Anolis sagrei: one gene and its partners. The protein of the gene in region 4 interacts with the protein of the main gene of each other region in a pairwise test. Links are inferred from orthologs where the notes say so. Each region holds a gene or a part of one and is shown on either strand. Other genes may lie near its edges. The genes, in order: ZBED1, REL, TRIM54 and AIRIM.

Region 1 (7,554 bases), on a different chromosome or scaffold from region 4:
AGTGAATGATGCGGTGTACGAACTCTCTTAGGCTCCATCTACACTGCCATATAAAATCCAGATTCTCTGCTTTGAACTGGATTATATGGCATTGTAGAAGGGGCCTAAGTATTCAAAGGGATCTTGTAGCACCTTAGAATCATTAAGCTTATTCTACCAACTTCATTACCTCAAACTTTAAGTTGTTACAAGATCATTTTGCATATGGCTATTCCAGACTGACATGGCTGTTTCTGAATTCCCTCATCACCATTTCCCCTCAGCCCCCTTTTGCCAAAAAGTTTTTTTCCTTGCTTCCCTTGCCCCCAAAAGCCCATTTCCCTTGTCTCCCTCCCTTTGTCTTGTTCTCTTCCAAGCACTATTTCCCTCCCACCGCTCAGGAGGTGCTTTGTTATGTTTTCCCTCCATGGCAGAAGGAAGTTGGACTGAATGGCCCCTGGGGTCTTCCATAGAAATGCTTTAGGGGGCATGCTTGTCAAGTTTCCAGATTACACCAAATTAGGAGGGATACCAAATATTGCAGAGGACAGGATCAGAATTCAAAATGACCTTAAGAGATTAGAGAGCTGGGACAAAACTAACAAAAATGAATTTTAGCAAGAATAAATGTAGAATTCTACACGTTGGCAGAAAACAATGAAATGCACTAATACAGGATGGGCTGATGCCTGGCTGAATAACAATACCAGTGAAAAAGATTTTGGAGTCTTTGGGGACAACAAGTTGAATATGTGGAAACAGTGTGATGCAGCAATTTAATAAGACAGTGGGATTTGGGGTTGCATGAAAATAAGTATCATGTCTAGATCAGGCATGAGCAAACTTGGGCCCTCTGGGTGTTTTGGACTCAACTCCAGCTGTTAGGAATTATGGGAGTTGAAATCCAAAACACCCAAAGGGGCCAAGTTTGCCTATGCCTGGTCTAGATCAAGGAAAGCAATTGTGCCCATCTATTCTGCTTTGGCCAGGCCTCACCTGACATAATGTGTCCAATTCTGGGCACCACAGCCATGTAACCTCTAGTGACGGAGCTCTCCCAAGCTATGTACTTGCTTCTTATAGATGTGCAAACCTACCCAGAGTAGGTACACATAGCTTGCACAATTAGCAGCTCTCAGCATCCTCATACACCCTGGCTTTTTGGGTGATTAGATGGTGGAAACTGTGATTAAACACATCAGGAAGACATCCGATTGGAAAGGATGGAAAAGCTGTGCTTCACAGGAAAATATGGTATTACTTAATCATGATGCTTCAGAATTGCAGTATATTTCAGATTTGCATGTGTATGGCCTTCTATCCTTTGTATAGCTGCATTAAGACATAATCAATTGGAAGGGAAGACAGGTAGCAGTTCATGACCTTTTAGAAAATCAGGTGCTAGTAGCTTGTACCGGCCTTCCAGGCCCCTTTAGCTCATAGCTGACATTTACTGTTTGCTCAAACAGCCTTCCAAAAACATCCTAGGCTGGAGTGATGTTTGCAAAACAAAAAAAATGTGTGAGAGCCAACAGGCTTACCTTCTCAGTGAGATCTCGCTGCACATTTGATATATTTGCACATTCATAACTGCTTTCTTTAAATAGGAATTTTCAGCAAAGAGGAGAAATGAAACAGTTAGGTAAACAGTTATTGTTTCTTATAACTGTTTACCAATTATAGCAGCTAGTGAGTTCATTTATATCAAGACTGGGCAACTGATGTATTTTTAACGTACACCTCACAAAACCCGAAAGTGAGGACTGTGGGCTTTTGAGGTTTGAATTTCCATAAACTTGCAATGTTTGTGGCACGTGGGCATTGTTACACCCCTCCAATTATTCCTATCATCCCCCCCCCCCCCCGCACAGATTTATAAAACACAGTATGTATATGCACCCATAACCATTGGCTCAGCCAGACTTCTAGGAATTAATAAAATCCTTTCCTGCTTTGAGTAAGTTTGATTGAAAATGTGAGATGCTTAATTTGGGCCTTAGACCACCATTGTTATAACATACATACATATATATATATATATTCTCTCTCTCTCAACACATATGAAGAGACAAACAATGATACATTCACTCTGGACAAGTCACCTCTTATGTATTCTTTGCCTATTAAACCCATGGAGTGGCTATACATTTGTGGTCATCACTTGTCATCTGCTTTCTTTGTTTCCCTCCTTAGTAGTGTGATGGTCAACATTTAATTCTCTACTTCTTTATTTTTAATGTTAACTAATTTTTAAAAAACCCAAATTCTTTCTATGTAAAGACTAACAATGCATTGCCCAATCACATAGCAATGAGCTCCCTTCTCCTCAAATAGGACACTTCTGACTAGACATGAATAAGTACACCTCTCTCACTTGAATGGGAAATCTGTGTCTGTAAAACCATTCTCCCCAAATATGGCTTTACAGTGTTTTGGACTTCAGCTCCCAGAATCCCTGATCATTGGCCAAAGCAGCCAAAATTGATGTCCAATACACTTGGGAATGCATTGTGATGGCTGTGACCTCCTGTTAACTGATCTCCTTTCAAACCTAAAAACCTGGCTGTTTAGTGTGCCTTAGAGGAATGAATACAACCTACACCATGACCAGCTCAGCACAATATTCCCTGTGATGCACTTTACCTCACCCTTCAATGATAATCACCCCATTGCTGCTCTCACCTGAACCCCCCCCCCCCCCGCCCCGCTAACTAGGCATACTACCCTACTCATCCATCTCACCCAGGGTTTTTTATATTTTAATTCTATCTTTTTAACTTGGCCCAGCCCTCTGTGCACATTATTATTTTATTTCATTTCCTGTATTTGGTTTTGTATTAATTTGCTTTGTTTATATTTCATTTGATGTTATTATTTGCTGTATGTATTTTATTTTGATTTGTTGTAATGGCTGGGCTTGGCTTCATGTTAGCCGCCCTGACTCCCCGTTGGGGAGATGGTGGCGGGGTAGAAATAAATTATTATTATTTTATAATCACACAAAATCAGTAATGCAGAAATTAGCACAGTGGCAGAGTTTTTATGCAGTAGCTCCAATTATGCACCAGTAGAAGTGTCAGTTTCTTTCTGGTGCTTACAGGTGCATCTACAGTGTAGAATGAATGCAGTTTGACACCACTGCAACTGCTATGGCTCAATGCTATGGTATCAAGAAAGTTGTAGTTTCGCAAGGTCTTTAGCGTTCTCTGCCAGAGTTGGTGTTTCACCCACTTGTAAATCCCAGAATTTCGAAACAGTTAAAGTGGTACACACTGCATGAATGAATTGATGTGTAGTGTAGGTGTACCCTAAGTTTGGCATGCCTTTTTACTAAACCCTGTTAACCTTTCCTTATGCTATCCAAAACTTACACACACACCCCACACGGGTGTTAACCCTTTCCTATGCTATCCAAAGCTTATACACACACACACACACACACACAAACATCTCAAGGATGTTAACCCTTCCTTATGCTATCCAAAGCTTATACACACACACCATAGGGGTGTTAACCCTTTCCTATGCTATCCAAAGCTACACACATACATATATATTCATACATACACGTATATAAATGCACACACAAACATCACAAGGGTGTTAACCTTTCCTTATGCTATCCAAAACTTACATACACCCACCCACAGGGGTGTTAATCCTTTCCTATGCAATCCAAAGCTTGCTTTTATACACACAGAGACATACATGCTTTTATACACACAGAGACATAAATACACACCCTCGGGGGGGGGGGAGGGGGGGAGGGGAAATCCATCCCTAGATAGATGGAAGAGTTAACACGCCTGTGGTGTTCATAGGGAAGTGTTAACACCCCTGTGGGGTTTTTTTTTTGTTGTGTGTGCGCCTGTTCAGAAGATTTCACCTCACTTTCTGTCCCTGTGATAATTGGATTTAGAAAAAAAAAGGCTTCTGAAACAAGGATCGGTGAGCAAGCTTCAGCCGAGGCCCCCTTTCCCCCCGATAACTCTTTGAGGAGTGAATTTCCCTCCCTGGGGGTAGATTTCTCTCCCTTCCTGTTGTCTCGCCCCTTATTAACGCTGAGCTGTTTGGATGTCGGATGTTTGTAACTCGGGGACTGCCTGTAGGTGTTTCAATAAACAAACACATGATTTCAAGCAGAAGCTGGTGCATAATTAGAGCTGCTGCTGTGCCAAAAATCGAACTCTGTCGCTGCACATCTTCTGCTTTACTTCCCTTTTCTGTGCGTCTTCCGTGGGAGGGGAGGAGATTGCGCACAGAGTCTGCACATGCCCAGATAGCAGGGAAATCCCGGTCGCTCCGAGGAGGAGGAGGAGGAGAGGCGCGGTCCTCTTTGCCTTGCCTTGCCTTGCTTTGCTTCCTCTGGGCGCGGCGAGGCCAGGGCTGCCAGGCGCGCGCTCTGAAGCCCCGGAGGCGTGCCGTCCTCGCGCCGCCTCCTCCTCCTCCTCGTCGTGCCTCTGGGCTCCTTTCCCTTCTGCAGCACGGAAGAGGCGAAGCAAAGCAGCAGCGGGAGCCATGTCGCTATTGTCCCTGGCCTTGCCTGCCTTCTGGCTCTACTGGACCGCGACGCGCCTCGTCCTGCACCAGATCTTGCGCCGCTTCCGCCTGGGCTGCCCTTCCAAAGCAGGTTAGGAGGCTCCCCCGGAGAGGCTGGGAGGGAGAGGCCTTGGCTTAGGAGAGGGAAGCCTCGCTGGCTTCGCTTTCTTCCCCTCCCCACGCGTCCTTCCACCGTTGGGAGCCAAAGTTGAGCATTTGCGCTCGGAGGGAGAGGACAGAGGACACTCCTCCTCGCAAATGGAGGGGATCCGCTTCCCTCTTCCTGCCTAGATCTTGTGGCAGGAGCCAGGCGAGGCCAAAGGGCTCCAAGCTCCTGCCCAAGGCTCTGGCTCCTGGTTACTGGGGGCCCTTCCACACAGCCCTATATCCCAGAATACCAAGGCAGTTCACCCTCAGATAATGTGGGATTTCCTGCCTTGATATTCTGGGATATAGGGCTGTGTGGAAGGGCCCTGGGACTCTTCAGTTGCAGTGCCTTCGCTGGCTGTTTGTAGCCACCGATTTTCAACCCTGGGATACAACCGCAACCTCTATCGGTCCCCTGAGGTTGTTGCATTTGCCAGTCTGCTGCCCCTAGCTTACACTTCAGTTGTAGCTTGGTGGACATACAGTGAATGTAGCAAAACAAAAAGTTTTCAAGCTACATCCAAGTTTCTTGTAACTGCCATGGTTATTGCTGTTTGTGTGCCTCCAAGTCATTTTTGACCAATGGAAAAACTAAGCAGATGGGAGCTTGTATTGTCGAAGGCTTTCATGGCCGGAATCACTCAGTTCTTGTGGGTTTTTTCGGGCTATATGGCCATGTTCTAGAGGCATTTCTCCTGACGTTTCGCCTGCATCTATGGCAAGCTTCCTCAGAGGTCATAGATGGGAGCTTGTTCTTGGGGATTTGCCCATGTTTTCCTCTGAGGTTAAGAGCATGTGACTTGCCTAAGGGCACCTAGTGGGTTTCCATGACTGAGGAGGGAGTTACAACCTTAGTTCAATATTCAAACAACTGCACCAGAGCTTTCCGATATTATGTTGGTGACGCACTACATGCATCGCTTTGCGACACAGTGCTTCAGTTTTACTAGCAAACCAGAGGTTAACCCAAGCATGGGCAAACTTCAGCACCAGCTGTTCTGAATTGTGGGTGTTGAAGTCCAAAACACCTGGAAGGCCGAAGTGTGCCCATGCCTGGGTTAAACCAAGAGATCGGAACACGTACATAAATTATAATAATGAAATGTATGGGGACATGACTTATCATGAAAATCTTGCTCATATATATATATGATTTATTGATTATTTCACATGGACTCACCTTTCTTGTTTCATTCACTTTACACACCTACACGCTACAGCCAACATTCCAATGTGTCACGACACACCATTTGGAAGGCTCAGCACTATACCATGCTGGGTTATCACATGCCTTCAAGCAGACTGGCTTATGGTGACCCTATTATAGGTTTTTCTTTTGCTTTGCAGGGCATTGCTTTCCTTTGAGGTTGAAAGAGTATGACTTACCTAAGGTCACCCTATAGGTTTCCATGGTTGAGCTTTGGTCTCCTGGTGTCCTGCTCTAGCATTCAAATCCTGATACTACTTTGGTTCCCTTGGGTACCTGTCTATTGAAGAGTGATCCAGTAATCTCACTAGGCCTTATTACTCTAAAGAAAATGCTATCTATGTTTGTCACTTTTTTCATGTCAGGAGCAACTTGAGAAACTCCAAGTCACTTCTGGTGTGAAAGAATTGGCTGCCTGCAAGGACGTTGCCCAGGAGACACCTGGATGTTTTGATGTTTTACCATCCTTGTGGGAGGCTTTTCTCATGTCCCCACATAGGGAGCTGGAGCTAACAGAGAGAGTTCTCCCCAGATTTGAACCTCTAACCTGTTGGTCTTCTGTCCTGCTGACACAAGGGTTTAACCCATTGTGCCACCAGGGGCTCCATGTTTGTCGCTAACCATACCTATATATAGTTGGCCCTCTATATCCATAGATTCTGCATCCGCAATTGAACCATCCACAGATTTTTTTTTAAAAAAAAAAATCCAAAAATCAAATTGTGATTTTGCTGTTGCATATAAGGGACAATATTTTAATACACGATTATATATAATGAGCTTCTATGGATTTTTGTATCCACAAGGGTTCTTGGAACGCCAGCAGATACCAAGGACCCACTGTATGCACTTTCACCTTTGACATCATTGAAAAGTCTGTCAATTGCATTCGTGGACATTGATTGTTTGATTGTGTGTGTGTGTAATAAGTTTTTAAATAGCAGGTATTAGTGACAGATTGTGGTTTCCATGCTATTAGCTTCCAAGACATTTGCCAGAAGTAAAATAGGCAAGAGTTGTAACCTGGTGAAAGATTGCTTTTTGCAAAAGCAAGGATATCACTGTACTCCTCCGCTTAATATGGAAAGCTGAAATTGAAGCTTTCCACTCCAGTGCTTTAATATTAGGTTGGGTGGAGATGGGGTGTGTGAAGAAAGAATATATGCTGTTTTCAGTCCCTTGGAGGGAATTGGAAAATAAATGTAAGACATAATCTTTTGGAGTTGGTGAGAAGTTCAAGGTAAACATCTACACTCAGTTACTAAGGAATTGGAATAGAATCAGACACTTGGTTGGAAGAAATTGTATTAATCTCATAGGAATAATAAAGAGCCAGTGTAGTAATTTGAATGCTAGAATTATGGCACTGAAGACCTGAGTTTACTCATAGAAATCTGTGGGTTGATTTTTGGTAACTCTAAAACTCAGAGATAGGCAAAAGCAGAGTCACCATAAGTTGGAAATGACTTGAAGTTACATAGGAACAACAAGGCAGTGGTTGCATTGTCTGTGTAACTGTGGTTCTGGTCAAAGTTGCACAACAAGAACAAGATAGGAAAAGCTTAACAAATAATCTAGCCTGGTCCCAATATATCAAATCCTACAGGAAACTGAATGGCTACTTAGGGACTACATGGCTACTTAGGGACCTTCTAGACAGGCTCTATATTCCAGGATCTGAT
Region 2 (6,965 bases), on a different chromosome or scaffold from region 4:
GTATTGAACTGCTTTTTCTGTCAATTTGTTGTAAAACATAATGTTTTGGTGCTTAATTTGTAAAATCATAGCATAAGTTGATGTTTAATAGGCTTTTCCTTAATCCCTCCTTATTATCCAACATTTTCGCTTATCCAAAGTTCTGCCGGCCCGTTTATGTTGGATAAGCCAGACTCTACTGTAACAACAACAACGACACTATGTAACAAAAGTTGAAAAAGTTTCTGTTCCTGGTTTGAAAGTGTTATTTCCTGTTTCGTTGTGCAGCACTAACTTTGAAAGTAGTTGCTATACTCCAGAAACTTGGTTTTTGTGGCTGCCACAAAGTATGTTGAATTGGTTGAGACTCAATGAAGATACTAATTGAAAAACTAGAGAAAAATGAGCTATTGCAGGATGTCCCTCCCACAAAAACAAACTTTAAGAATCTTTCCCCATCTTTTTATGATAGAACCAATTAGGAAACAATATTGATAACCCAGGAACAAGATATCATGTTGCATATAATAATAATAATAATAATAATAATTATTATTATTATTATTATTGGGTTGTTGTGAGTTTTCTGGGCTGCATGGCCATGTTCCAGAAGCATTCTCTCCTGATGTTTTGCCTGCATCTATGGCAGGCAGATATATATAAACCCCACTTTCCTAGTTTCCATGAGACATCACAACCTCTGAGGGTATATATATGGCAGATATATATAAACCTCACGTTCCTAATTCCAACAGAACTCGCAACCCCTTAGGGTGTGTGTGTGTGTGTGTATGGCAGATACATAAGCCCCACTTTCCTAGTTTCCAATAGACCTCACAACCTCTGAGGATGCCTGCCATAGATGCAGGCAAAATGTCAGGAGAGAATGCTTCTGTAACATAGCCATACAGCCTAGAAAACTCACAACAATCCAGTGATTCCAGCCATGCAAGCCTTCGACAACATACTAGTATTATTATACTACGTAACACATTTTTTGTTCCTGGATTATCAATATCATTTCCGAATTGGTCATTACAGTTAATTGGTTAATAATAGTTATTATTATTATTATTATTGTTGTTGTTGTTGTTGTTATTGGAGCCACAGGTGGCGCAGTGGGTTAAAGCACTGAGCTGCTGAACTTGTTGGCCAAAAGGTCACAGGTTCGAATCCAGGGAGCAGAGTGAGCTCCCGTTGTCAGCCACAGCTTCTGCCAACCTAGCAGTTCACATGCAAATGTGAATAGATCAATAGATACCATTCTGGCAGGAAGGTAACGGCGCTCCATGCAGCCATATCGGCCACATGACCTTGGAGGTGTCTACGGACAATGCCGGCTCTTTGGCTTAGAAATGGGGGTGAGCACCAACCCTCAGAGTCAGATGCAACTGGACTTAATATCATGGAAAAACCTATTATTATTGTATTGTCGAAGGCTATTATTGTATGGCCGGAATCATTGGGTTGTTGTAGGTTTTTCAGGTTGTATAGCCATGTTCTAGAAGCAGTCTCTCCTGACATTTTGCCTGCATCTATGGCAGGCATCCTCAGAGGTTGTGAGGTCTGTTTGAAACTAGGAAAGTTGGGTTTATGTATCTGCCATATATATATCCTCAGAGGTTGTGAGGTCTGTTGGAACTAGGAAAGTGAGGTTTATATATCTGTCATATATATATTCACAGAGGTTATATATTCTCAAGAGGTTGTGAGGTCTGCTGGGAACTAGGAAAGTGGGGTTTATATATCTGCCTGCCATACATGCAGGCAAAACGTCAGGAGAGAATGCTTCTGGAACAAGGCCATACATTCCAGAAAACTCACAACAACCCAATAACAACTATAATTACGTCTTGTTCCTGGGTTATCACTGTTGTTTCCTAATTGGTTCTTTCATAAAAACATGGGGGAAGTTTCTTAAAGTTTGTTTTTGCAAGAGGTGCCATCCTGCCATAGCTCATTTTTCTCTAGTTTTTCAATTAGGGTGCTTGCCATAGATGCAGGCAAAACATCAGGAGATAATGCTTCTAGAACATGGCCGTACAGCCCGAAAAACCTACAACAACCCTATTATTATTATTTGAAACACAACAAGATGAGTCCACAGCAGACACTCTGCTGGCTGTTGTATTGGATCACACGTCGGACGCTTCCCAAGTGTCTAGGACTGTGTGATGTATCGGCAAATAATGTGTGCAGATCCCAGTAAGGTGGCCTTTTGCAGCTGGCAGATGGTAATTTTGTCAGTGCCGATTGTGTTTAAGTGCAGGCCAAGGTCATTAGGCACTGCACCCAGTGTGCCGATCACCACTGGGACCACCTTGACTGGCTTGTGCCAGAGTCTTTGCAGTTCATTATTATTATTATTATTATAACTAGGGAAGTCTAATTTAGAGAAATTAGGGAAGTCTAAAGACCTTTGGAAATTAATCTTCCATGACTCCATAGATCAGGAATGGGCAAACTCTGGTCCTCCAAGTGTTTTGGATTTCAACTCAGTATAGATCAGGCCTGGGCAAAGTTCTGCCCTTCCAGGTGATTTGGACTTCAACTCCCACAATTCCTAACAGCCTACCGGCTGTTAGGAATTGTGGGAGTTGAAGTCCAAACACCTGGAAGGGCAGAAGTTTGCCCAGACCTGCCATAGATAGTGTCACTGTGTTGGGACCTCCAAGAGAGAAGATTCCAACCTGGGAGGACCTTTACCTTTGGATTCCTATGAGTTTGGATGCAGTTCCCTCCACTGGGTAAGACTAGATCTCCCTCCTGCTTACCTGCCATGGTGGCTTGTCCTCCCTGGACCCGGTGGAGAAGGGGAAGAGCTCTTTGCCCGGCTTGGGGTGCCTCTCCTGGGATCCAGCTGGTCCTTCTGAGTGTCTTCCTTCCTGGGCAAGAGTGCCTCCTGGTTGGGGCAGGTTTTGAGGCTCCCTCCTTGGGAGGCGGCGCTGGCTGGAGACCTCCCTCCTCCTCGAAGCCTCCGCCCCGCTCCCCCTACAATCCGGCGGGGAATTTCCACCCTGTGACGTCCTCCTCGTGACGTCTTCTTCGTGGGTCTCCCCTCCCACCTCCCACCACCAAAACCCCGGTGCGCCAAGGAGGAGATAAGGCGCACAGAGAGAGAGAGGCAAGAGAGGAGTAGGAGGGGCTGAGAGAGCGTGACTCCCCGTCACACCAAGCCACACTCCCCTCCAAAAAAAGGGGGGGAGGGCATTCTAACCTTTGAGGGTTTAAGGTCAGGTTTGGGGAGCCCCCTCTTCAAAGGCGCGCCCACCACTCTCCCACCTTCTCAAACTTCACCCAACTTCTTTTCTTTTGGTGCATCTCCACTCGAGAAAGGATTCAGCTCCAGACCACTTGCATTTGCCAGTTGCTTGCTGCTGTGGGAGGCTGGGAGTTATAGTTTTACCATAGTCTTCTTGAGCCTCTCAACAAAGGATTCCCCCAGGCAGTAAGAAACTGCAAGGCCATTGAATGCTAATCAAGGTGGCCAATTGAAACATTCACACCTATCTTCAATAGACAAAGAGTTAGGTTCTTGTGGGGTTTTTTGGGCTATAGGGCCATGTTCTAGAGACATTTCTCCTGACGTTTCACCTGCATCTATGGCAAGCATCCTCAGAGGTAGTGAGGTCTGTTGGAAATAGGACAATGGGTTTATATATCTGTGGAATGGCTGGGGTGGGGCAAAGAGCTCTTCTCTGCTAGAGCTAGGTGTGAATGTTTCAACTGACCACCTTCATTAGCATTTGAAGGCCTGCCTGGGCCTGGGAAAATCTTTCGTTGAGAGGTGTTAAGATGTGCCTGGTTGACAAAGAGTTCTCCCAAATGCCTCACCAAATTGCAACTTCCAGGATTCCATAATAATGCCTCTCAACAAAGGATTCCCCCAGGCAGTAAGAAACTGCAAGGCCATTGAATGCTAATCAAGGTGGCCAATTGAAACATTCACGCCTATCTCCAACAGACAAAGAGTTCTTTCTCCCAAATGCCCCACCAAATTGCAACTTCCAGGATTCTGTAATAATGCCTCTCAACAAAGGATTCCTCCAGGCAGTAAGAAGCCAGACCCTGAAACTGCAAGGCCATTAAATGCTGATCATGGTGGCCAATTGAAACATTCACACCTACCTCCAACAGACAAAGAGTTCCTCCAAATACCTCACCAAACTGCAACTTCCAGTATTCCGTAATAACAGTAAGAGAGCTCATCGCCTCTCAACGAAGGATTCCCCCAGGCAGTAAGAAGCCAGATCTTGAAGCTGCAAGGCCATTAAGTGCTAATTAAGGTAGCCAGTTGAAACATTCAGACCTACCTCCAACAAACAAAGAGTTCTCCCAAATGCCTCACCAAACTGCAACTTCCAGGATTCCGTAATAACACCTCTCAACAAAGGATTCTCCCGGGCAGTAAGAAGCCAGACCTTGAAGCTACAATGCCATTAAGTGCTAATCAAGATGGCCAATTGAAACATTCACACCTACCTCCAACAGACAAGAGTTCTCCAAAATGCCTCGCCAAACTGCAACTTCCAGGGTTCCGTAATAACAATAAGACAGCACATCGCCTCTCAACGAAGGATTCCTCCAGGCTGTAAGAAGCCAGACCCTGAAACTGCAAGGCCATTAAATGCTAATCAAGGTGGCCAGTTGAAATATTCACACCTACCTCCAACAGACAAGAGTTCTTTCTCCCAAATGCCTCACCAAACTGCAACTTCCAGGATTCCATAATAACGCCTCTCAACAAAGGATTCCCCCAGGCAGTAAGAAGCCAGGCCTCGAAGCTGCAAGGCCATTAAATGCTAACCAAGGTGGCCAATTGAAACATTCACACCTACCTCCAACAGAAAAAGAGTTCCCCCAAATACCTCACCAAACTGCAACTTCCAGGATTCCGTAATAACAATAAGAGAGTTCATCACCTCTCAACAAAGGATTCCCCCAGGCAGTAAGAGCCAGACCTTGAAGCTGCAAGGCTATTAAATGATAATCAAGACAGCCAATTGCAACATTCACACCTACCTCAAACAGACAAGAGTTTTTTTTCCCACCCTGGACATCATTCCACAAATATATAAACCCCATTTTCCTAGTTTCCAACAGACCTCACAACCTCTGAGGATGCCTGCCATTGATGCAGGCGAAACATCAGGAGGGAATGCTTCTGGAATTATGGCCATACAGCCCAGAAAATACACAACAACTCATTGATTCCGGCCATGAAAGTCTTTGCCCATAATGCTTAATAAGGCAAAAATTCAATGCCAAAACAAGCTAATAATAATAATAATAACAACAACAACAACAACAATAATATGAGGATTTAAAGATTGAACTGTAACGACACTGGCCCAAGCCAATCAAGGTGTTCCCAGTGGTGATCGCCACACTGGGTGCAGTGCCTAAAGACCTTGGCCAGCACTTGAAGACAATAGGTGCTGACAAAATTACCATCTATCATCTGCAAGAGGCCATCCTACTTGGATCTGAACGCATTATTCGCCTATACATCACACAGTCCTAGACATTTGGGAAGTGTTGGACGTGTGATCAAATACAAAAGCCAACATAGTGATCTTGTTTGCTGTGTACTAATATTGTTATGTATCAAATAATTAATAATAATAATAATAATAATAATAATAATAATAATACTGTATTTATAACACTCCCTATCTCAGAGCGGTTTCCAGCAAAGTAACAAAACGGCAAACATCCAGTGCCGAAAACAAACACAAAGCAAATCAAACAATAGATAAAATAATCTCCACACTAAATGACAAAACAACCAAAAAAATAACCAAAATTTGAACTTAAATAAATACGGGGGTGGGTCAAAATGTTTTGCCTCTTGTGTCAAAAACGTTATAAATGGACATATGGTTCTTCACCCAATGCCGCACATTGCTGATGTCCATTACAGTGTCCTCATAAACATTCTTCAAGCAATTATGGATTTCACAATTTGCCTTTGCCTGAAATTCAAGGGTGACTCTGTCTTTTAGCTTCAGATTCATAGTTCTATTCAGTCAATCGGAAAAAGGAAATATATGGACTACCGCGATGCTCTCTATGTGGGATTGCCTTTAAAGACTGTTCGGAAGCTTCAATTGGTCCAACGGCCAGCAGCCAGATTACTCACTGGTTACGTCGGCTCCACTGGCTGCCAGTTTTGGCTTTAGCCTACAAAGCCCTAAAGCAGGGTTTCTCAACCTTCATAACGCCATGACACTGGAGGGTGGTGCTCATCTCCATTTCTAAGCCAAAGAGCTGGCGTTGTCCATAGACGTCTCCAAGGTCATGTTGATGAGGATTGGAGACTATAAAAGGGCAGTCCGCACCTTGATCGGGGCTCTGGGTTTTACTTTTGGGACATGAGTCCATACCAGAGTCACCAGCTGGAAATAAAGTCGTTCTTTTCTATCTCCAGAAAGGATGTCTCTTGGTAATTATCTCTCCTTTCCTCAAAACCTGTTTCCCTGCCATTTCAATGTCGCCGGCATGACTGCATGGAACGCCATTACTTTCCTGCCGGAGAGGTACCTATTAATCTATTCATAGTTGGGAGTATTAATCTACTCACATTTGCATGTTTTCGAACTGTTAGGTTGCAGGAGCTGAGGCTAACAGCAGGAGCTCACCCCACCCATGGACTTGAACTGCCAACCTTCTGGACAACAAGTTCAGCAGCTCAATTATTTAACCCATTGCACCATCGTGGCCCCTGTCATTAAATATTACATAGAGTAAAAATACAATAAATAAGACAACCTTGAAATAAACTTACAAGACTATTTAAGACTAACCAAAATATAACAAAAATTAAGACGCAGATAAAACGTAACATAACATATCACACTTATGATAAAATAGAGTGAATTAAACCAAGAAGGCACTAAAACATAAGAGTGTTTTACAACATCCAAAGGGCTGAGGTAGCATTTAATAACACAATTTTTGTTCCTGGGTTATCAATGTCATTTCCT
Region 3 (6,890 bases), on a different chromosome or scaffold from region 4:
CAGGGGAAAAGGGGCTGGCCCTCTGTCGGGAGGGATCGGGTGGAGTCCCTTGCAAGGCTAGTGTAACACTAGGGTTCTAAACAAGGTGCTCCTTGGCAAGACAGGCGGACCAAGAGGGTTGCTGAGCTGCCCCTTGACTAGAGCCCTAGCCTTGGAAGGGACACCACCTGATCCCCCCCAACAGACGGCCATCCACCTGGCCTCTGCTTAGGGGAATCCCTCTCCATGCCAGGAACTGCTGTGCTTGGGGGTATTATGGATCGCACAATATGTAACAATAGGATGCTCTCCTGATGTTTCACCTGCACCTGTGGCTCATGGCATCTTCAAAGGTGACACCACCCGAACCATCCCAACAGACGGCCATCCACCTGGCCTCTGCTTAGGGGACTCCCTCTCCACGCCAGGAACTGCTGTGCTTGGGGGTATTATGGATCGCACGATATGTAACAATAGGATGCTCTCCTGATGTTTCACCTGCACCTGTGGCTCATGGCATCTTCAAAGGTGACACCACCCGATCCCCCCCAACAGACGGCCATCCACCTGGCCTCTGCTTAGGGGACTCCCTCTCCACGCCAGAAACTGCTGTGCTTGGGGGTATTATGGATCACACCATATGTAACAATAGGATTCTCTCCTGATGTTTCGCCTGCACCTGTGGCTCATGGCATCTTCAAAAGTTTGTTGGAAGTGAGGCAAGTGGGGTGTATATCTATTTGTGGAATGATGTTCATGGCAAGAGAAAGAAGCAAGCGTGGATGTTGCAATTAGCCAGCCTGAATAGCACTGAGCAGCCAGGAAGTTGGGAAAGTCAGTCAGTGAGGGTCTTTTCATAGAGTTTGCCTGGGCTTTGATGAACCATAGAATCATAGAAGGGATCCCCCCTTGTGGTGCAGACGGTTAAACCGCTGAGCTGCTGAACATGCTGATCGAAAGGTCACAGCTTTGAATCTGGGGGCTGGGGTGAGCTCCCACTGTTAGCCCCAGCTTCTGCCAGCCTAGCAATTTGAAAACATACAAATGTGAGTCGAACAATAGGTACCGCTCTGGCGAGAAGGTAAGGGCAGTCCTGCCAGTGGCTTTGGAGGTGTCTGCAGACAACGTCGGCTCTTCAGCTTAGAAATGGAGATGAGCACCAGAGTCCCAGAGTCAGGCACGACTGGATTTAATGTTTCGCCTGCATCTTTGGCAAGCATCCTCAGATTGTGCGGGGAGGCTAACTTAACTAATTTACGACTCCATAAAAATCTCCAGCAAGCATGCAAAGAATGAGGAAGTACTCCATCAGTGTCACAAATGGACGGTGAAGCAACAGCTCCCCTGGTGGCCAGAATACCATCATGAAAAAGCTGGAATGTTAAATAGCCTCTGTGTGCCTTGCATACAGAGACCAGCAAAGTGATCTTGTTTACTGTGTACTCGTCTTGTTGTGTTTCAAAAAATAATAAATAGGCCAGATAAAGGTGGAGGGCGTCGATTCAGGGGAGGGCGGGGTCATCATCATCATCATCCTCATCATCATCTTCATTGTATTGTCGAAGGCTTTCATGGCCGGAATCACAAGGTTCTTGTAGGTTTTTTCGGGCTATATGGCCATGTTCTAGAGGCATTCTCTCCTGACGTTTCGCCTGCATCTATGGCAAGCATCCTCAGAGGGAGTGAGGTCTGTTGGAAATAGGACAATGGGTTTATATATCTGTGGAATGGCTGGGGTGGGGCAAGGAGCTCTTCCTTGCTAGAGCTAGGTGTGAATGTTTCACCTTCATTAGCATTTGAAGGTGAAATGCTAATGAGCCTGAGCCTGGGAAAAATCTCCTGCTGAGAGGTGTTAAGCTGTGCCTGGTTGTTTCCTCTCTGCTTCATTAGCATTTGAAGGCCTGCCTGAGCCTGGGAAATCTCCTGTTGAGAGGTGCAGCATACTCCACCACAGACATCAGAAGAGCTGCAAGACCACCGAGAAGAAGCCATGAGAGTCAAGCCACGAGAAACAACCAGGCACATAAAATCACTCTCAACAAAAGGTTCCCCCCAGGCGCTTCCAAGCCATTGAATGCAAATCAAGGTGATCAGCTGAAACATTCCCACCTAGCTCCAGCAGACAAGAGTCCTTTGTCCCACCCTGGACATTATTCCACAGATATATAAACCTATTTTCCTAGTTCCAACAGACCTCACTACCTCTGAGGATGCTTGCCATAGATGCAGGCAAAACGTCAGGAGAAAAATTGCCTCCAGAACATGGCCATATAGCCCAGAAAAACCTACAACAACCCAGTGATTCCAGCCATGAAAGCCTTCGACAATACATTGAACAAGGAAAAGCCTTAAGGCAGGTCTGGGCCAACTTCGGCCTTCCCTCCAGGTGTTTTGGACTCCAACTCCCACCATTCCTAACAGCCGGTAGGCTGTTAGGAATGGTGGGAGTTGGAGTCCAAAACACCTGGAGGGAGGGCCGAAGTTGGCCCAGGCCTGCCTTAAACCCAGTTAAGACCCTAAACATTTGGGGGGTGTTCCCTTGACCACTGACCCCTTGACCGCACCTGGAAGACGTCGTTGGCGCACTTTCGGCAGAGGTTGTGCTGGCAGGGCAAGATGACCACAGGCTTGGAGAACATCTCCAGGCAGATGGGGCAGATGAGCTGCTTCTCCAGGCTGTCCATGCTCTGGCCCGAGGGGCTCCCCCCGGTCAAGGACTTGAAGCCCCCCGGGAAGTTCATCCCAAAGCAGAAGCAGAAGGACGAGAAGGAGGACGAGAAGGGTCTCCCTCCACTCTCCTTCTTCTCCTCTGGCCCTTCTCTGGGGGGTATTTTTAGCCTCCCACGTGACCCCCAAGGCATGCCAGGCTCCCATTCCTGCTCGAGGTCATCCAGGAAGGGTGGGGCACCGAGGGTCCAGCTGTCGGCGGCATCAGGTGGCGCTGAGTCACTCGCCTCAAGGGGAGCGTGACGACGACACCCCTCTGGTGCAGACCCCCACCCACCAATCATCATAATCATCAACATGTGCTTTCTATTAATAGGGCCATGGAATCCTAGGCCTCTCCTCATGGGGATCTAGGCCAACCCTCTGCCATGCAGGAAAAGCACAGTCAAAGCACCCCCAACAGATGGACATCCAGCCTCTGCTGGAAACACCCCAGAGGGGGAGACCTCACTGAACCCCCTTCCCGCCTCTGGCACACAGCACTAACTCTAATAGATTCATAGTCCAGAGGAGGAGTTTTTAGTCCAAGAGTTTTAGAACTCCAATATGCTGATGACAACGTTGTCTCTGCGCATTCAGAAGAAGACCTACAACATCTGTTACAGAATTCCAATATGCTGATGACAATGTAGACTGTCCTCATTCAGAAGATATACAACATCTGTTACAGAATTCCAATATGCTGATGACAATGTAGACTGTCCTCATTCAGAAGATATACAACATCTGTTACAGAATTCCAATATGCTGATGACAATGTTGTCTGTGCTCATTCGGAAGAAGACCTACATCATCTGCTACAGAATTCCAATATGCTGATGAAAATGTAGACTGTGTGCATTCAGAAGATATACAACATCTGTTATAGAACTCCAATATGCTGATGACAATGCAGTCTATGCTTATTCAGAAGAAGACCTACAACATCTGTTATAGAATTCCAATATGCTGATGAAAATGTAGACTGTGTGCATTCAGAAGATATACAACATCTTTTATAGAACTCCAATATGCTGATGATAATGTAGTCTGTGCGCATTCAGAAGACCTACAAAATCTGTTACAGAATTCCAATATGCTGATGACAATGTAGTCTGTGCGCATTCAGAAGAAGACCTACAACATCTGTTATAGAACTGCAATATGCTGATGAAAATGTAGACTGTGCTCATTCGGAAGACCTACAACATATGTTACAGACTTCCAATATGCTGATGACAATGTAGTCTGTGCGCATTCAGAAGAAGACCTACAACAATGATGGGCAACCTTTTGAGCTTGGTGTGTCAATACTTCCAAAAAAAATGAGCATAACTCGAGAAGAAGAAGACCTACAACATCTGTTACAGACTTCCAATATGCTGATGAAAATGTAGACTGTGTGCATTCAGAAGATATACAACATCTGTTATAGAACTCCAATATGCTGATGATAACGTTGTCTGTGCACCTTCAGAAGAAGACCTACAACATCTGTTACAGAATTCCAATATGCTGATGACAATGTAGTCTGTGCTCATTCAGAAGACCTACAACATCTGGCTCATGTTCTCCTTCCTCTCGAGGACTCCCAGATCTTTCCCCACGCACTGCATCATCGTCCTCCATTCTGTCTCTTTGCGTTTCCTTTTTTCTGCTTACGTGGAGTCTCTTGCGTGTGTCCCTGTTGAACTTCACGGTGTTAATTTTGGCCCAACATCTGGAGATCCCTTTGAATTCTGCTCCTGGGGATGGATGCTGGTGGTGGTGATTGTTGTTGTTCATTCGTTCAGTCGTCTCCGACTCTTCGTGACCTCCTGGACCAGCCCACGCCAGAGCTCCCTGTCGGCCGTCACCACCCCCAGCTCCTTCAAGGTCAATCCAGTCACTTCAAGGACGCCATCCACCCACCGTGCCCTTGGTTGGCCCCTCTTCCTTTTTCCTTCCATTTTCCCAAACATCATTGTCTTCTCTAGGTGACCTCCTGGACCAGCCCATGCCAGAGCTCCCTGTCGGCCGTCACCACCCCAGCCCCTTCAAGGTCAAGCCAGTCCCGTCAAGGATGCCATCCATCCATCCATCTTGCCCTTGGTTGGCCCCTCTTCCTTTTTCCTTCCATTTTCCCCAGCATCATTGTCTTCTCTAGGTGACCTCATGGACCACCCCATGCCAGAGCTCCCTGTCGGCCGTCACCACCCCCAGCTCCTTCAAGGTCAATCCTGTCCCTTCAAGGACGCCATCCACCCACTGTGCCCTTGGTCGGCCCCTCTTCCTTTTTCCTTCCATTTTCCCCAGCATCATTGCCTTCTGTAGCTGACTTCATGGACCACCCCATGCCAGAGCTCCCTGTCAGCCGTCACCACCCCCAGCTCCTTCAAGGTCAATCCAGTCACTTCAGGGATGCCATCCCTCCACCTTGCTCTTGGTCGGCCGCTCTTCCCTTTTCTTTCCATTTTCCCCAGCATCATTGTCTTCTCCAAGCTTTCCTTTCTTCTCATGATGAGGCCATCTTGGCCTCTACTATCCTTCCCTCCAATGAGCAGTTGGGCTTTAATGTAATGTTCGTTTGTGGGATTAACAGAACTCAAAAACCACTGGACGAATTGACATCAAATTTAGACACAAGACACCTAATAACCCAATGTATGTCCTTCACTCAAAAAATTGATTTTGTCATTTCGGAGTTGTAGTTGCTGGGATTTATAGTTCACCTACAATCAAAGAGCATTCTGAACTCCATCAATGATGGAATTGAACCAAACTTGGCACACAGAACCCCCATGACCAACTGAAAATACTGGAAGAGTTTGGTGGGCAGTGTCCTTTGGTTTTGGAGTTGTAGTTCACCTACATCCAGAGAGCACTGTGGACTCAAACAGTGATGGATCTGGACCAAACTTGGCACGAATACTCAATATGCCCAAATGTGAGCACTGGTGGAGTTTGGGGAAAATAGACCTTGACATTTGGGAGTTGTAATTGCTGGGATTTATAGTTCACCTACAATCACAGAGCATTCTGAACTCCACCAGCAATGGAATTGAACCAAACTTGGTAGACAGAACTCCCATGACCAAACAGAAAATCCTGGAAGAGTTTGGTTGGCACTGACCTTGAGTTTGGGAGTTGTAGTTCACCTACATCCAGAGAGCACTGTGGACTCAAACAGTGATGGATCTGGACCAAACTTGGCACGAATACTCAATATGTCCAAATGTGAACACTGCCGGAGTTTGGGGAAAATAGACATTGCCATTTGGGAGTTGTAGTTGCTGGGATTTATAGTTCACCTACAATCAAAAAGCATTCTGAACCTCACAAATGATAGAATTGGACCAAACTTCCCACACAGAACCCCCATGACCAACAGAAAATACTGTGTTTTCTGATGGTCTTTGGTGACCCCTCTGACACCCCCAGGTTGAGAAACTCTTGGCATGAAATGCAGGGGGTCCTGAGCACTGCCAGAAACGCAGACGTGGGCTTTGTTGACCAATGTGAATTTTTTTTGGGGGGGGGGGCTGGCCAGCATGGCTTCCTTCATTCCAAAATAGCACCAGCCGCCAAAGTGACCGCAGCACCGAAAAAGGCCGGGCAGCAGGAGAGAGACAACAATAAATAGCCAGAGGATTCTTTCCAGGTGAATGGAGGGGGGGGGGGTCACTTTACCCCTCCCCCTTTCCTCTGTCAGGACACAATGGCCTCCTTGCTTTTCCCCTCACGTCCTGCAGCGTCCAGGGGTCCGGCTGCTGGGCTGTATGGCCATGCTCTAGCAGCATTTTCTCCTGACATTTTGGCTGCACCTCAGGCCCCTTCCTTTTCCCCCTCAGCCGCTTAAGCGGCTGAGGGGGAAAAGGAAAGGGCCTGAGGTGCAGCCAAAATGTCAGGAGAAAATGCTGCTAGAGCATGGCCATACAGCCTGAGGAAAGGGCCTGAGGTGCAGCCAAAATGTCAAGAGAAAATGCTGCTAGAATCATAGAGTTGGAAGAGACCTCGTGGGCCATCCAGTCCAACCTCATTCTGACAAGAAGCAGGAAATTTGCATTTAAAGCACCCCCAACAGATAGCCATCCAGCCTCTGCTTCAAACCCTCCACCACACTCCAGGACAGAGAGTTCCACTGCTGAACAGCTCTCACAGTCAGGAAGTTCTTCCTAATTTTCAGGAGGAATCTCCTTTCCTGTAGTTTGGAAGAACATGGCCAT
Region 4 (6,980 bases):
ACCTAACAAAATGAAGTTCAGCAGGGACAAATGCAAGATAATCCACTTAGGCAGAACAACTGAAATGCCATGATACAGAATGGGAGATGCCTGATTCTACAGCAGTACATGTAAACAAGATCTTGGAGTCCTCATGGGGAGGAAGGTGAACATGAGCTAACAATGTGATGCGGCGGCAAAGAAACCCAATTGAATTTTGGCCTTCATAAATAGGTGTATACTATCTAGATCCAGGGAAGTCATGCTACCCAACTATTCTGCCTTGGTCAGATCACACCTGGAATCACACTGTGTCAAATTCTGGACACTGTAATTGAAGGGAGATGTCTGGAAAACAAGCCCTATGAGGAGTGGCTTAAAGAGCTGAGCTTGTTTAGCCTGCAGAACACAAGGCTGAGAGGAGACATGATGAAGGGCATGTATAAACATGTGAAGGGAAGTCATAGGAGGGACCAGGCTTGTTTTCTGCTGCCCTGGAAACTAGGACATGGAACAATGGCTTCAAACTACAGGAAAGGAGACTCCACCTGAACATTAGGAAGAACTTCCTAATGGAGAGAGCTGTTCAGTGGAACTCTGCCCTGGAGTGTGATGGAGGCTCCTTCATTGGAGGCTTTGAAACAGGCTGGATGGCCATCTGTCAGGGGGGCTTTAAATGCAATTTTCCTGCTTCTTGGCAGGGAGTTGGACTGGATGGTCCATGAGGTTTCTTCCATGATTCTAGGTGATGAGCACTAGGGTCCCTGAGCCCCCCCTCCCCAGGAGGGAGAGACAGACAGAAAGAAAGAAAGAAAAGAAAAGAAAAGAAAAGAAAAGAAAAGAAAAGAAAAGAAGGGCTGGCCAGGAGTTACTGGTGCCAGGCTCTTGCCCTCTGCCTGGGCCTTGCTGCCAAAGGCCTGTCTTGTTTGGCGTGTTAAGCTCAATCTATGAGTGATGGGAGTTCTCTAAATATCCTAGTGATCTGTTAGTACCGGATTCGAACAGAAATCACAGGCAAGGACGGCAGAAGTTTCTTTCCACATTCAAGAAGTCTTTTATCTTCCAACAATGCATACATGCAAAGCTTTGTATAAAACCAAGTCCTCTCACTTTCTCCCCTCAGCAATCTTCACAGCAGTTCTCTCACGTAGATCTCTCTTATTTTGGAAAACCAGAATCTCCCTGGTTTTCCAACCATTTTAAAAATAACCTTTTGTAAAATTATGATCTTCCAGAGAAGAACAAAAAAATGTATCATTTGAGTAAAATCTTCTCTTGTGTGGGATATAACCACATGTACTTATGCAAAGCATTTTGGTTGTTAGGCTGATAACCTGGTTTTCTTTTATCTGTTAGGAACAGAAGCAACGCCAATGCGTAAAATATAGCCATTCTTCAGAAGTATTTTTTTCAGTGCCTAAAAACATCTACTCTCCCATAAAACATCTTGTTTCGATATCATTCTCTGAAGAGACAAAAATAAAGTGGACTTTGTTAAAAGTAACATTTGGTTTACTCACAACCTTCATGTATTCAGTATATAGGTACATAACTTGTCAAGTTATAGATAGGTTTGAAGTAGTTACTCTGTGCAGATAACACAGGGCATCTTTCTTACAATCAACAACATGAGTTGTCTCTTAACAGTCCAAAGTCAAGCAGGTAAGAGGTAGTCTTAACAGTCTGAGAGTGTAATGGAGTCTGAGGTCTGAGCAGTCTCAGAACTGATCATGTGGTCCCACAACCTCAAGAAACAGAGTAAAGGGAAAGCTGCATACCAAAACATACATATACAACACAGTAAGCAAATGGAAACCTATACAAACAAATTACTAGTGGAGGCTTGAAGGTTATTTCCAACGTCTTTGTAACATTCAGCAACACCAGCATAAACACTCATCCACAGTCATCATGCTAGCTGCCCCACTGTTATCCTAGATCTGGCCAATCACATATTGTATTGCATCATACATGGTGTCCCAACAGTGCACCGTGGTTGCACCAGACATTAGGCATTGCACACTGGTTTCATCATCCTCGGAAACTTGTCATTCTGACTCTGCAGTTAGCTCCTGAGGGTTTTGTGTGTGTGTGTTTGTGTGTGTGTCAGGAGTGAATAGAGAAACTGCAAGTCGCTTCTGGTGTGAGAGAATTGGCCGTCTGCAAGGTCATTGCCCAGGGGATGTCCGAATGTTTGATGCTTTACCATCCTTGTGGAAGGCTTCTCTCATGTCCCGCATGGGGAGCTGGAGCTGACAGAGGGAGCCCAACCTGCTCTCCCCAGATTCGAACCTCTGACCTATTGGTCAGCAGTCCTGCCAGTACAAGGGTTTAACCCATTGCGTCACCTGAGCTCTTTCTTTCTGAGTATGATGACATAGGGTTGCTGTGAGCTTTCCAGGCTGTATGGCCATGTTCCAGATGCATTCTCTCCTAACGTTTCACCCACATCTACGGCAGACATCCTCAGAGGTCATGATGTCAGTTGGAAACTAGACAAGCGAGATTTATAGATCTGTGGAATGCCCAGGGTGGGAGAAAGAACTCTTGTCTGCTTGAGGCAAGTGTGAATTTTATTGCCATTGGCCACCTTGATTAGCATTGAATGGCCTTGCAGCTTCAAAGCCTGGCTGGTTGCTGCCTGGGGATCCTTTGTTGGGAGGTGTTAGCTGGCCCTGATTGATTCTTATCTGGAATTCCTCTGTTTTTTTGAGTGTTGCTCTTCATTTACTGTCCTGATTTTAGAGTTTTTTAAATACTGGTAGCCAGACTTTGTTTATTTTCATGGTTTCCTCCTTTCTGTTGAAATTGTCCACATGCTTGTGAATTTCAACTCAAAATACATATTAATTTTATTTATTTATTTGCGACATTTATATGCCACCCTTCTCACCCCGAAGGGGACTCAGAGCGGCTTACACATTATTTGTACATATAATATATTATATTATTAGCATAGCACATTATTAGTATTATGTATTTCCATATTGTACTATACAACTACATTTATTTATTTATTTCTCGCACTTCTACCCCGCCCTTCTCAACCCCCGAGGGGGGACTCAGGGCGGCTTACAAAAAGGCACAATTCGATGCCGGCACAACAACAAGGTAAAAAATAAAACATAAACAGTAATTAAAACAATTAAAACAATCCATTATACATCACAATCCCTAAAAACAATCTAGTGCTCAACGTTTACCAGCTCATAGTCCATAAATTCAAATTCCACATTGTCCAATCCAGCAATTCTAGTTGTTGCTTGCCCCTTATCTATCCGCCAGATAACCCGAAGGCCTGGTCCCAAATCCATGTTTTTAATTTCCTTCTAAAGACGAGGAGGGATGTCAATGACCTAATTTTTCCGGGGAGTGAGTTTCACAGGTGAGGGGCCACCACCGAGAAGGCCCTGCTCCTCATCCCCACCAATTTCTCTTGTGATAGAGGTGGGGCCGAGAGCAGCACCTCCCCAGAAGATCTTAAACTCCGAGGCGGGACGTAGAAGGAGAGGCGTTCGGACAGATACGCTGGGCCGGAACCATATAGGGTTTTGTAGGTCAAAACCAGCACTTTGAATTGTGCTCGGAATTGGATCAACATTGTAATATCATTAGTAATATTACATGTTATATATATATATGTAATTATTAAATTTAATTATTAGTATTATATTATATTATAATATTATCAATATTATATGTGTATACAATATATTAGCACAGCACAATATCAGTATTATATATTACTATATTGTACTATACCACTATACTGTAAAATTATTAGTAATATTACTTGTAATATAAATATATAATTATTATATTGCATTATTATTAGTATTATGTTGCATTACATTATAATATTATCAATATTATATGTGTATAATATACTTTATTTTCATTTCAAATCCTGACCTGTCTTCCCAGTGGGACTCTGCAGGTGCCCAGCTTGGCCCAGGTAAGGGCAGGGGATGCTTAGAAGTGCACTATCTGGCTTCCTCAGGCCTGCCTTTCCATTGGACTTGAAGGCTCTTTCCACAAATGGGACAACGCTGACATTCCCACTTGTCTTCTCACATTTGCAGCCTAGGATGCTCCATGAAATGGGATTGGCTGATTTTTATTTTTTTGCAAAGGTGTTCAAATCTGGTTCAGGAAGCTGCAGGGAGAGACAAGAGAATACAGCTTTCCTGCCCTTTGCCTGAATGGAAGAACAATGTTGGATCCAAGCTTTTGAAGTTCAAGCAATGTGGATTCTTTATGAGCCTGGCCACAGAGAGAAGGGAGTCCCCGCCTGCAGATGCCTGTGACGTCACTCCAGGGCAAGCCACGCCCATCGGAGGAGGCGGGAGGGCGGTGGGACTCCATTTCCCGTCAGGCCCCGGGGCGGCTAGAGGAAGGGAAGAAGGCGGAAGGCAGGTGAGTTAGTCAAGGGAGCCTATCTAGGCACATTATTTGCTTTGAAATTGATTATAAGGCAATGTAGCCCAGGTATGGGTAAACTTGGGCCCTCCAGGTGTTTTGGACTCCAACTCCCACCATTCCCAACAGCCTCAGGCCCCTTACTTTTCCCTCTCAGTTCTTCAAATGTTTTGGACTCCAACTCCCACCATTCCCAACAGCCTCAGGCCCCTTCCTTTCCCCCCTCAGCTCTTCAAGTGTTTTGGACTCCAACTCCCACCATTCCCAACAGCCTCAGGCCCCTTACTTTTCCCTCTCAGTTCTTCAAATGTTTTGGACTCCAACTCCCACCATTCCCAACAGCCTCAGGCCCCTTCCTTTCCCCCCTCAGCTCTTCAAGTGTTTTGGACTCCAACTCCCACCATTCCCAACAGCCTCAGGCCCCTTACTTTTCCCTCTCAGTTCTTCAAATGTTTTGGACTCCAACTCCCACCATTCCCAACAGCCTCAGGCCCCTTCGTTTCCCCCCTCAGCTCTTCAAGTGTTTTGGACTCCAACTCCCACCATTCCCAACAGCCTCAGGCCCCTTACTTTCTCCTCTCAGCTCTTCAAGTGTTTTGGACTCCAACTCCCACCATTCCCAACAGCCTCAGGCCCCTTCCTTTCCCCCCTCAGCTCTTCAAGTGTTTTGGACTCCAACTCCCACCATTCCCAACAGCCTCAGGCCCATTACTTTCCCCTCTCAGCTCTTCAAGTGTTTTGGACTCCAACTCCCACCATTCCCAACAGCCTCAGGCTCCTTCCTTTCCCCCCTCAGCTCTTCAAGTGTTTTGGGCTCCAACTCCCACCATTCCCAACAGCCTCAGGCCCCTTACTTTCCCCTCTCAGCTCTTCAAGTGTTTTGGACTCCAACTCCCACCATTCCCAACAGCCTCAGGCCCCTTACTTTCCCCTCTCAGCTCTTCAAGTGTTTTGGACTCCAACTCCCACCATTCCCAACAGCCTCAGGCCCCTTCCTTTCCCCCCTCAGCTCTTCAAGTGTTTTGGACTCCAACTCCCACCATTCCCAACAGCCTCAGGCCCCTTACTTTCCCCTCTCAGCTCTTCAAGTGTTTTGGACTCCAACTCCCACCATTCCCAACAGCCTCAGGCCCCTTCCTTTCCCCCCTCAGCTCTTCAAGTGTTTTGGACTTCAACTCCCACCATTCCTAACAGCCTCAGGTTCTTTCCTTAAGTGGCTGGGGGGGAAAGGGGCCTGAGGCTGTTAGGAATGGTGGGAGTTGGAGTCCAAAACACCAAGGGCCCAAGTTTACCCATACCTGGTCTACACTGCCTTATAATCCAATTTAAAGCAAATAATTGGATTTTATATGGCAGTGTAGAAGGGGCCTCTGCTGTACTTTTCCAATAAAGATGTAATAAAAATTGAAATATTGTCTATTTCTGCTTCAAAAGTGGTATTTCCTGTTTCATTATGCGATCATTATTTTCAAAGGAGTTCTACTCCAGAAACATCATTTTTGTGGCTGCCAGGACTTTAAGATCGTCCGGGGAGGCCCTGCTCTCCATCCCGCCTGCGTCACAAACACGTTTGGTGGGGACGAGAGACAGGGCCTTCTCAGTGGTGGCCCCTCGGCTATAGAACGCCCTTCTTGGGACATTAGATCGGCCCCCTCTCTCTTAACATTTTGGAAAAGTGTCCAGACTTGGTTGTTTGAGCAAGCATTTGAAAATGCAAGGTAAAAGACATAAGAATTAGAATGACTGGACGACGAGATTGGACAGTGATTTTATTAGGAGACGCAAATGATCTATGTTTTTAATACTCTTGTTATAGTTTTATATTATGTGTTAATGTTTTTAAATGTTTTATGGTGTTTTGTGCATTGAATTGTTGCCACTGTAAACCTCCCTGAGTTGCCTGAGGGTTGAGAAGGGCGGTATACGAATACAGCAAATAAATAAATAAATAGGTTGAAATTGGTTGAGACTCTTATGATGAGATAGTCACTGAAAAACTGAAAATTGTGTTACATAGTGTCCTAATTTGGTTTACAGTAGAGTCTCGCTTATCCAGTCTTCGCTTATCCAACATTCTGTATTATCCAACGCAGTCTGCCTCCCGCCCGGAATAATGTCCAGGGTGGGAGAAAAAAAGAACCCTTGTCTGTTTGGGTACTAAATTTGTAAATACAGTAATTACTGCATAATGTTACTCTGTATTGAACTGCTTTTTCTGTTGATTTGTTGTAAAACATGATGTTTTGGTGCATCATTTGTAAAATCATAATGTAATTTGACATTTAATAGACTTTTCCTTAATCCCTCCTTATTATCCAACATTTTCGCTTATCCAACGTTTTGCCAGCCCATTTATGTTGGATAAGCAAGACTCTACTGTATTATCTGTCTCTCCTTTTAATCCAAGGCGGGGCACAACACAGGCAGATCTATCAAATCCCATATTGAAACATAGTTAAAATGCAGCTACAAAAGCATATATTAAAACATAAAAGGTAAAGGTTTCCCCTTGACATTAAATCTAGTCGAGTCCAACTCTGGAGCATGGTGCTTATCTTCATTTCTAAGCCGAAGAGCTGGCG

What was found.
Region 1: the proteins of AIRIM (region 4) and ZBED1 interact in binary tests that used the Homo sapiens proteins (3 or more experiments, as listed by UniProt). The two-hybrid records come from large-scale screens. The link is inferred for Anolis sagrei from reciprocal best matches to the Homo sapiens genes AIRIM and ZBED1.
Region 2: the proteins of AIRIM (region 4) and REL interact in binary tests that used the Homo sapiens proteins (3 or more experiments, as listed by UniProt). The two-hybrid records come from large-scale screens. The link is inferred for Anolis sagrei from reciprocal best matches to the Homo sapiens genes AIRIM and REL.
Region 3: the proteins of AIRIM (region 4) and TRIM54 interact in binary tests that used the Homo sapiens proteins (3 or more experiments, as listed by UniProt). The two-hybrid records come from large-scale screens. The link is inferred for Anolis sagrei from reciprocal best matches to the Homo sapiens genes AIRIM and TRIM54.

Annotation. Positions count from the first base shown.
Region 1 is NC_090023.1:98,069,337-98,076,890, forward strand, and holds the start of ZBED1 (E3 SUMO-protein ligase ZBED1), read left to right. Parts: upstream 1-4,528; 5' UTR 4,529-4,609; intron 4,610-7,554.
Region 2 is NC_090021.1:12,673,172-12,680,136, forward strand, and holds the start of REL (proto-oncogene c-Rel), read right to left. Parts: upstream 3,010-6,965; 5' UTR 2,761-3,009; coding exon 2,754-2,760; intron 1-2,753. UniProt on the Homo sapiens protein: Proto-oncogene that may play a role in differentiation and lymphopoiesis.
Region 3 is NC_090021.1:828,760-835,649, forward strand, and holds the start of TRIM54 (tripartite motif-containing protein 54), read right to left. Parts: upstream 3,009-6,890; 5' UTR 3,006-3,008; coding exon 2,544-3,005; intron 1-2,543. UniProt on the Homo sapiens protein: May bind and stabilize microtubules during myotubes formation.
Region 4 is NC_090034.1:86,340,282-86,347,261, reverse strand, and holds the start of AIRIM (AFG2-interacting ribosome maturation factor), read left to right. Parts: upstream 1-3,979; 5' UTR 3,980-4,276; coding exon 4,277-4,395; intron 4,396-6,980. UniProt on the Homo sapiens protein: Part of the 55LCC heterohexameric ATPase complex which is chromatin-associated and promotes replisome proteostasis to maintain replication fork progression and genome stability.